2 linked regions of the Daphnia pulex genome follow. The protein of the gene in region 1 interacts with the protein of each later gene in a pairwise test. Links are inferred from orthologs where the notes say so. Each region holds a gene or a part of one and is shown in the gene's direction. Other genes may lie near its edges.

What was found.
Region 2: the proteins of elongation factor Tu, mitochondrial-like (region 1) and elongation factor Ts, mitochondrial-like interact in a two-hybrid assay, tested with the Drosophila melanogaster proteins (2 studies listed by BioGRID). The link is inferred for Daphnia pulex from reciprocal best matches to the Drosophila melanogaster genes mEFTu2 and mEFTs.

Annotation. Positions count from the first base shown.
Region 1 is NC_060026.1:7,179,921-7,184,308, reverse strand, and holds elongation factor Tu, mitochondrial-like, read left to right. Parts: upstream 1-1,570; 5' UTR 1,571-1,863; coding exon 1,864-1,979; intron 1,980-2,194; coding exon 2,195-2,318; intron 2,319-2,395; coding exon 2,396-2,602; intron 2,603-2,674; coding exon 2,675-2,753; intron 2,754-2,822; coding exon 2,823-3,685; 3' UTR 3,686-3,688; intron 3,689-3,764; exon of another isoform or gene 3,765-3,779; 3' UTR 3,780-3,902; downstream 3,903-4,388.
Region 2 is NC_060025.1:6,704,448-6,708,266, reverse strand, and holds elongation factor Ts, mitochondrial-like, read left to right. Parts: upstream 1-1,443; 5' UTR 1,444-1,587; coding exon 1,588-1,752; intron 1,753-1,807; coding exon 1,808-1,930; intron 1,931-1,985; coding exon 1,986-2,111; intron 2,112-2,173; coding exon 2,174-2,346; intron 2,347-2,409; coding exon 2,410-2,576; intron 2,577-2,639; coding exon 2,640-2,923; 3' UTR 2,924-3,074; downstream 3,075-3,819. UniProt on the Drosophila melanogaster protein: Associates with the EF-Tu.GDP complex and induces the exchange of GDP to GTP. It remains bound to the aminoacyl-tRNA.EF-Tu.GTP complex up to the GTP hydrolysis stage on the ribosome.

The DNA of each region.
Region 1 (4,388 bases):
ATGCTGGGTCGGTTCTACTGCAGTCCGCCTCCTCCTACTTAATAAATTATCATTCGCCGGCTGAACATTTTCTTTCTATTTTTCATTTGTGTGTAGTTTTGTGTGTGACACGTTGCTTCATTCCGTACGGCCGTGTACAACCATCAATCGCCACCCCCTGCGCCTGTTTCTTCTTCGGCAACCCCCTTTGCTCCCTCGAAGGGAGAAAAGGAAACTATGAAAAAAATGGGGGCCCATACTGACCCCGAGTTCTTGGAGTGCTTGTAGTGCCTCTAGCGGATAAACTACTGCACTGCACCAAGGCTACGAAGGGTTTTGCAGACGAATATTGTTTTCCTTCTGTTTTGGTAAAATTCTTTGCCGTTGTTTAAAAGTCCTAGGTAATTTTTTCATAAAAATTTTTATTAAGAATTCATATTGTATTTAATTTTGACGTTTGCCAAGGCTACGGTCAAAATGAATGAAAATTACATCATAAACTCAACTTTTTACGCTGAATCGAAATATGCATTCAGAATCAGCATAATATGTACACACGTATGCGTAATCGACGGCCAAAGAATTTTTACTTCCGCGCGCGCTCTGCGGCTGGCGTTTTTACCCCTATTCGTACCTTATAAGCCAAAGAAAGTTGCTCAATTTTCAGTATGTTGTTGTCCTTCATATTGTCTATCTTTTCACTAATTAAAACTATTTTTGATTAGCTATTTACCACTAAATTTAAATAAAACCAGCTTCTTGGCGGCTAAAATTCCAAGAAAATCACCTTCAGCCTCATTTTCGGCAGATTTCCCTGACAAGAATTTATTAAATTTCAGACGAGATGTAAGCCCCTGACGATGCGGTCATTTATATGTAAAATTAACTCTTTTCTGTTGAGTTTTAAAATTTTTAATAATTTATGAAATTTTATACCCAGATTGTAATGCCAGAAAAAGTGTAGTTTTCGGCCTTGTAAGTACCTTTATATCGTAGGATCTTATTCAATTTTCAGTATGTTTAAGTAAATTAAATTCTCTATCTATTCATTAGCCGCTCTGGGTACCGTACCGTTTACGCGCTCACCCCCGCCTGAGCTCGCTCACCCCCGCTTGAGCTCGCTCACCCCCGCCAAAGCTAGCTCACTTCTGTTTTCATTTTTACCCTCATACTAAGTTTTTGTTGTAAAAGACAAATCAAATTAAATAACACAGAAAAATTGAAGGCGAGAACGAGGAAAACCTAGGTGGGGAAACCTTTTAATGGCTAGAGCTACTTACGAAAATACGGAAAAAAGACTAAAAGAGTCGTTTCGCAGTTTTACCTATTTTTTTAAGTAGCTATTTAGATCGCAGATGCAGGATGTCATCTTCGCCAAACACGAAGACAAAAAGTAACAATTTCAAAGCACTGTTGAAATTTAAAATGCAGCAGTGAGCTAGCTCAGGCGGGGGTGAGCGTTTTTATCAAAGCCTGGCCAAACGTCAAAACACGAGTTGCGGCCCTCCGCCGCTAGGAACGCTGGAAATAGGGTGCCGTGTACGCGCTCACCCCCGCCTGAGCTCGCTCACTGCAACCCGTGTTGCAACAACCGCCTGAAGGAATAATAAATTTTACAATGTTGGGCAGATGCAGACGAATTATGGGTTGATCGAAAAATAGAAAAGAAAAACATTGGTTAACAAGTTTTTGACTTTTTCTTTTTTTCACGGATTTGACTTTGAGCGAACTTTTCATTTACATTATAGTTATCATTTTCATTGACTAATTATTCTCGTTATTTATTAATAATAATATAGCATTGTATAACTTTATGCTGTTTCTCGCACCGAACTTTTGTGATTGTTAAAGTTAAAAACGATCTTGTATAATTTTTGATAGAAAATGGTGGCTACTACTGTTGTACGCAAAATGTGTTCATGTAGTATACGATTACTACCTTTATTGAGATCACATTCTTTGCTAAGAACGCCGATGCTATCGCGATTATTAATTCAAAGGTAAAGCGGTTTAAAAGATGATTTCTTTCTTCAATTCATGGATTTTCATGCATAGGCTACTTTACCGAATCCAAATATTTAATGATTTAACTTTCAGATAGTGTTTTTGTTAAATTTAACAAACATTACAAAATGTAATGTCTTAGTTTGTAAATTCATTAAAAGAGCATGAACTATATTTGTTTGCATTACATTAACTGTGTCTTTGTCTACAGATTGACATCATCATCACCTCAATTCAGCAAAACTGAAGCCCATAATGCTCAGTCTAGCAACTTACCTCATGCCAATATTGGCACCATTGGCCATGTAGATCATGGAAAGACAACACTGACTGCGGTATGGTATTATTATTTTTTTTTTATAAAAAAATATATACTTAAATCCTAATAACTGTTGACCATTAATACAAATAGGCTATCACCAAAGTCTTGCAGAAGGATGGGTTGGCCAAGTATGTGTCATACGATGCGATTGACAAAGCACCAGAAGAAAAGGCACGAGGCATTACAATCAACATCGCTCACGTGGAATATTCCACTAAAAATAGACACTACGCTCATACAGACTGTCCTGGCCATGCCGACTTTATCAAAAACATGATTTCTGGAACTTCCCAAATGGTATCAGAACCTTCGAAAAATCATGTATCTATATAATTATAGGATTCTGAGTATAGATTTCTTGAACAATAGGATGGAGCCATCGTGGTAGTTGCTGCGACAGACGGCCAGATGCCTCAAACTAGAGAGCACCTTTTACTTGCGAAACAGGGTAAAATCGATGTTTTGTATGGATTTAATTCAATAGAATTCCAAGAATTTCTGTTTCTTTTTTGTTTAGTTGGCGTGAAGCATCTAGTAGTGTTTATCAATAAAGCTGATATAGCTGACAGCGAAATGACCGAATTGGTGGAGATCGAAATGCGGGAATTAATTTCCGATTTCGGCTTCGACGGCATAGCAACTCCAGTAATTTGCGGCTCAGCTTTGTTGGCATTGAAAGGCGATGAGAGTAGAATGGGCGTCCCATCCATTAGGAGACTACTAGCAGCCATCGACGAATATGTTCCTACACCTCAAAGAGACGTCACATCACCGTTCTGGATGGCAATTGACAGCGCATTCACCGTACCTGGCCGAGGGACTGTGGTCACGGGAACTATAAAGAAGGGAACGCTGAAGAAAGGTGATGAAACCGAACTCTTGGGGCATAATTCAGCCATCAAAACAGTGGTGACGGACGTCCAGGTGTTTCGGAAGTCAGTGCCCTTTGCAGAAGCTGGTGAAAACGTTGGTCTCTTACTGCGCTCCATCAAACTGGATCGGGTCCAGCGAGGTATGATGCTGGTGGCCGCCCATAGTGCAACAATTGGCAATCGTTACCAAGCTCAGCTGTACCTGTTAACGCGAGGCGAAGGAGGCCGTAGCCGTCCGGTCATCTCAGGCTACATTCAACAAATCTTTAGTGCAACATGGAATTTAGCTGTGCGGGTGGATATGCCGAGTGACAAAGACATGCTTATGCCAGGAGATCACTCCGTCGTCAACCTCACCTTGCTCAAGCGAATGGCCGTCGAACCCGGACAAACTTTCACGATCAGAGAAAACAATTACAATGTTGCGACCGGCATCATCACCAAGAAATTGAGTGATGCCAATTTAGTTAAAGGAGATTCTCTGGACAAAATAACTGTGGTCGACTAATTGGTAATTCGATTTGAATTTCAGTTGTATGAATACAAATCTTTAGAAAATATATATTTTTTTTTTAACTTCTTTCCAGTCTTGGGTTATATAGTTCTTCGAGCAGGGATCGTCGCCTTTATTACGAGCCATGAATTATTTTTTTATAGTTCTTTGTGTTATCCGGTATAACCTAACCTTGCGTTATGTAATAGAATATCAAGATTTAATAATGAAAGTCAGGTATTTGTCTCCTTTGTGAACAGAATCAGTTCACTTTTTTCTTTAAAACTTATGTACGTCATCCATTCGCATGAGCATTGCTTCTGTTGTTCTTCCTTTTTAATTTTTTTTTTCATAGTTAGTTACTTTTATCTATAAATTATTTATTTTTTTTTGTTTTGAAAAGTACAACGACCCTGCTTCACTCGGCTACACTCAGCAAATCGGAGGGGAAGTTGATGCCTTAGGTTTGGATCCAACAATAATTTTTATTTATTTTGTCAATGGTAGGCTACCTTATTGTCAGTATTTTTCTTTGTTTACATTTTGCATCGTGTTTCTTTCATCTTATATTTCTTTTCGTTTTGAGGTCACAGAAATTTTTCCACAAGTTCAATCAAATCAAGTTGCGACATAGTTAGGTATGACAGCTATTGATGATTACATTAAAACATAGCCATTATGTAACGTTGCAGTGAATTACATTAATATTGCTTCAAAA
Region 2 (3,819 bases), on another chromosome or scaffold:
AACGAATGTCCCCTTTTGAATAAATATAAATGAATAAGATAGAATGACTCTTTAGCTATAAAATGAACCCAAGGAAGGATTTCTATGTGCTAAGATGTCATGTAAATACTGTTTTAAAAAAAAACCATTTTCCCATAAGCGGCTGTGTTAAATACGGAAACACTTTTTCGCGGGGGAAAATATTCGGTGCGTAGCACTATGACGGAATCGCAGTAGTAAAAAGGCGCTTAAGTATCGTACTATAGTAATTTGTATCACAAGTAAAATTGAAAATGGCTACAGTGTATCACTAGTAAAACGTATCTCAAATAATACCGTTCGGAAGAAAATCAAAATTTTCTAAATAATTTATTTATTTCATACCAACAAATGGTCAATAGTAAATTGTTTCATAATTCTTTTTCAAAATTTCGTGTGAAAAGGGAAAGTGATACAGTAGTATTTTGTAGTATAACGACAACGTCTCGTTAGTAACAGGCATCAACAGTAACACCCCCTATGATCCAGTATGATATTCACGGCTTCGCCGTGATGATCCCGAATGTAAATTTCACGGCTTCGCCGTGGATGATACCGAATTTAATTTCACGGCTTCGCCGTGGATAATAATAAAATTATGTTCACGGCTTCGCCGTGATTGATAATAACTTGACGTTCACGGCTTCGCCGTGGATGATAATAATATGATGTTCACGGCTTCGCCGTGATTGTGATTAGGGAATTACCAATTTTATAACCTAACCTAACCTAACCAAACCTAACCTAACCTAACCTAACCTAACCTAACCTAACCTAACCTAACCTAACCTAACCTAACCTGATGTTACTTGTGAACAGAAATACTAGTGAGACAATTTTTCAATGCAACGAAGTTCTTATGATACAAGAACCACAAGAACTTCGTTCTTATGAGACATTTTACTTAAAGAACTAGTTATTAATGGGTACTTTTTCGAGTTACTAAACAATCAAATTATTAGTGATATATTTTACTAATGAAACACTTTACTTTCAACACTATATATTTATGAGCAAAAAAAAAAAGCTGTTATTTATGGCCACCTTTACTAGTGCGATTCCGTCACTGTGAGATGCACCCAAAATATTGGGTTTTACGTTTAATTTTTTTTTAAATACTAAATATCGTTATAACTGCACAAAAAGTTGGGTACTTATAGAATGAAAGATTTTCTAAAATTTAATATTTTTTTAAATGGTTTATTTCAACAAGAAAGGATATTTACACGGGAAATAACATTTCAAATCACGATTTATACATGTTCTACACGATAGTTTTAACTAGTATTTTAAAAATAACTACATTTTTATAGTACACACAGTGCTCACGAACAAAAATTCAGGTAATAATTTGTTTGGGGTATACCCACTTTTTGGGCACAATTTGACTATACTATCGATATCGATACAGTCGACATGCAGTCGATAGTAGTCCATGAGGCAGCAGGGAAGCAGACGAAGTTTTGGCGAATTTGCTTGACAAATCAAATAGAATCAGTCCTGACATCCGTTTAATTGTGTAATCGGTGTAAACCAATATTAAGTTTGAACTTTAAACTCATAAATAAAATGTTATTCCGCCGATTATTTCACCACACTTCTATTGTTTCTTTCCACTCCAGCAAAGTAATGACAGCTAATCAATCTTTACTCTCAACATTGCGAAAAAAAACCGGTTATGCTATAACAAATTGTAAAAAAGCATTAGAAATGAACAACAACGATATTGAAAAGGTATGTGAGTGGAATTTTCATTAGAGTGACAAATTATTAAAATGATTTAATGAAGGCAGAAACATGGCTTAATTCGCAAGCTCAAGCTCAAGGATGGGCAAAAGCAGCAAAACTACAGAGTAGATCTACTCCAAACGGACTTGTAGGAATAAGACTAGATACAAAGTGTGCCGTTATGGTAAGAAATAACAAATTTCTTACTCATCATTCAATTAACATGATTTTCTTTCTAGGTGGAAGTAAACTGTGAAACAGATTTTGTTTCAAAAAATGAGAAATTTCAAACCCTTGTAGCACAAATTACAGAAACTTGTTTCAAAAAGTCATTAGCCACAGTTTCTGCACTAGACACTACTCAAGTAAGATTTGTTCTTAGCAAAAACTTTAAACATTCAGTTAAAATAAAACTATTTTCCTATAGGAATCAAGTTTAGTTAAATTAGGATTTGATTCTGAGCAGTTGGGATCATTGCAATTGAATGACAGTAAAAATTCTAAACTTTCTGACTTGTTGGCACTTAATATTGGACTCATTGGTGAGAATATGGCTGTGCGTCGAGCTGCAGCTCTTTGCGCAACCAGTTCAAATATCAAGTAATCGGCGGTGTTACTTTTCCTGTGGAAGCTCTCCTCATTGTTCATTTTTCTTTAATATAGGTTTTCATCTTGTACCCATCCACAGCAGGTGTTGGGTGAATCATTCCTAGGCAAATATGCAGCCGTCTTTGCCTATGAAGAATGCCCTCCTTCGGTTGAAACACCAGAATTGTCTGAAATTATTGATTTAGAAAAGCTTCCTAAGCAACTGTGTCAGCATATCATTGGTATAATATGTTAGTTTGAATTTGTAATTTAATAACTTTAACGTTGTCTTCCCCTGATCAAAGGAATGAATCCCCGAACCATTGAAAAGGTAAATAAATTGCCAGAAGAAGAGCTAGCAGAAAAACCACCCAGTGATGAAAAAGCGGAACAGTCGTCAAGCGAAGAAAAAACGGAAAAATTACCAAGCGAAGAAAAAAAAGAAAAATCATCAAGTGACGAAGAATCAGCTCTATATCATCAAGAATTTCTTGCTTATCCTGAATTCACAGTACGGGAAGTTATGTCTCATGTGGGATGGGATATCAAAGGTTTTTTGCGTTTCGAATGTGGTGAAAGCCTTGAATAAGATGAAACCAATTTCAGTCAAAATTTGCTTCTAGTTCACTTCTTAGTAATTTCATAGTTTAAAAAAACTATTTCCAAGAAGCTGGATTTTGATTAAAAATCTGTGAATCATGCTAGTTAGGATATAAATAAATACAATTCTTTTTTCATCATCTAGTAGTAATTCCTTTTTCTCTCTCTAAATAATTGCGCAATTTTTCTTTTTTTATGAGTTTAAAAACCATGCTGGCGACAATTTCCCTATGCCCTATTGCTCTTATCCTTCTTCCTATCCGGCGGGCAATCACGGTGTGTCCTAGCGGACAAGGTCATCAACCGAGTGTTGAAAACGTCTTGAATACAACTTCATGAATGTGCCGTCATCCATCAACGAAACTTGTTTTTAATCTGATAAAGAATAAATAAGATCTCTTCGGATTCATGAAGCGGGAAGGGCAACCTTTATTTAATATATACGTAGTCTAATTACCGTGAAATGGTTGATAAAAAGACCTCAAAGCACTCAAAGCTTGTCGGTCTATCTCTGTTGAAACTGAAATATCTCCGGATGAGTTAAAAATCCAGAAAAAATTACGTTGGAATTTTTTTTTAAATTATTTGTTAATTTTTAGTTAGAACTATCTTGAATTCCATTAATTTTTTTTTTCAGCCCTTCCTTATTGAAACCCAAATTGCGCTTCCGGAAAAGGAGGTTTAGTTTACATTCGCTCGCCGACTGCGTGTTAAAAGTAAGTGCATAATGACGAAATAAATTTACTTCAAGAAAACATTGGATTTTAGACATTTAGATTTTGGTAAAGAGGATAAAAAATAACTCGTTTTTTGGAGACCCTGATGCAGCCGTTTACTGGTTATAGTTGGCCGCCACGTGACGCTAAACTACTCCGCCCACGAAAC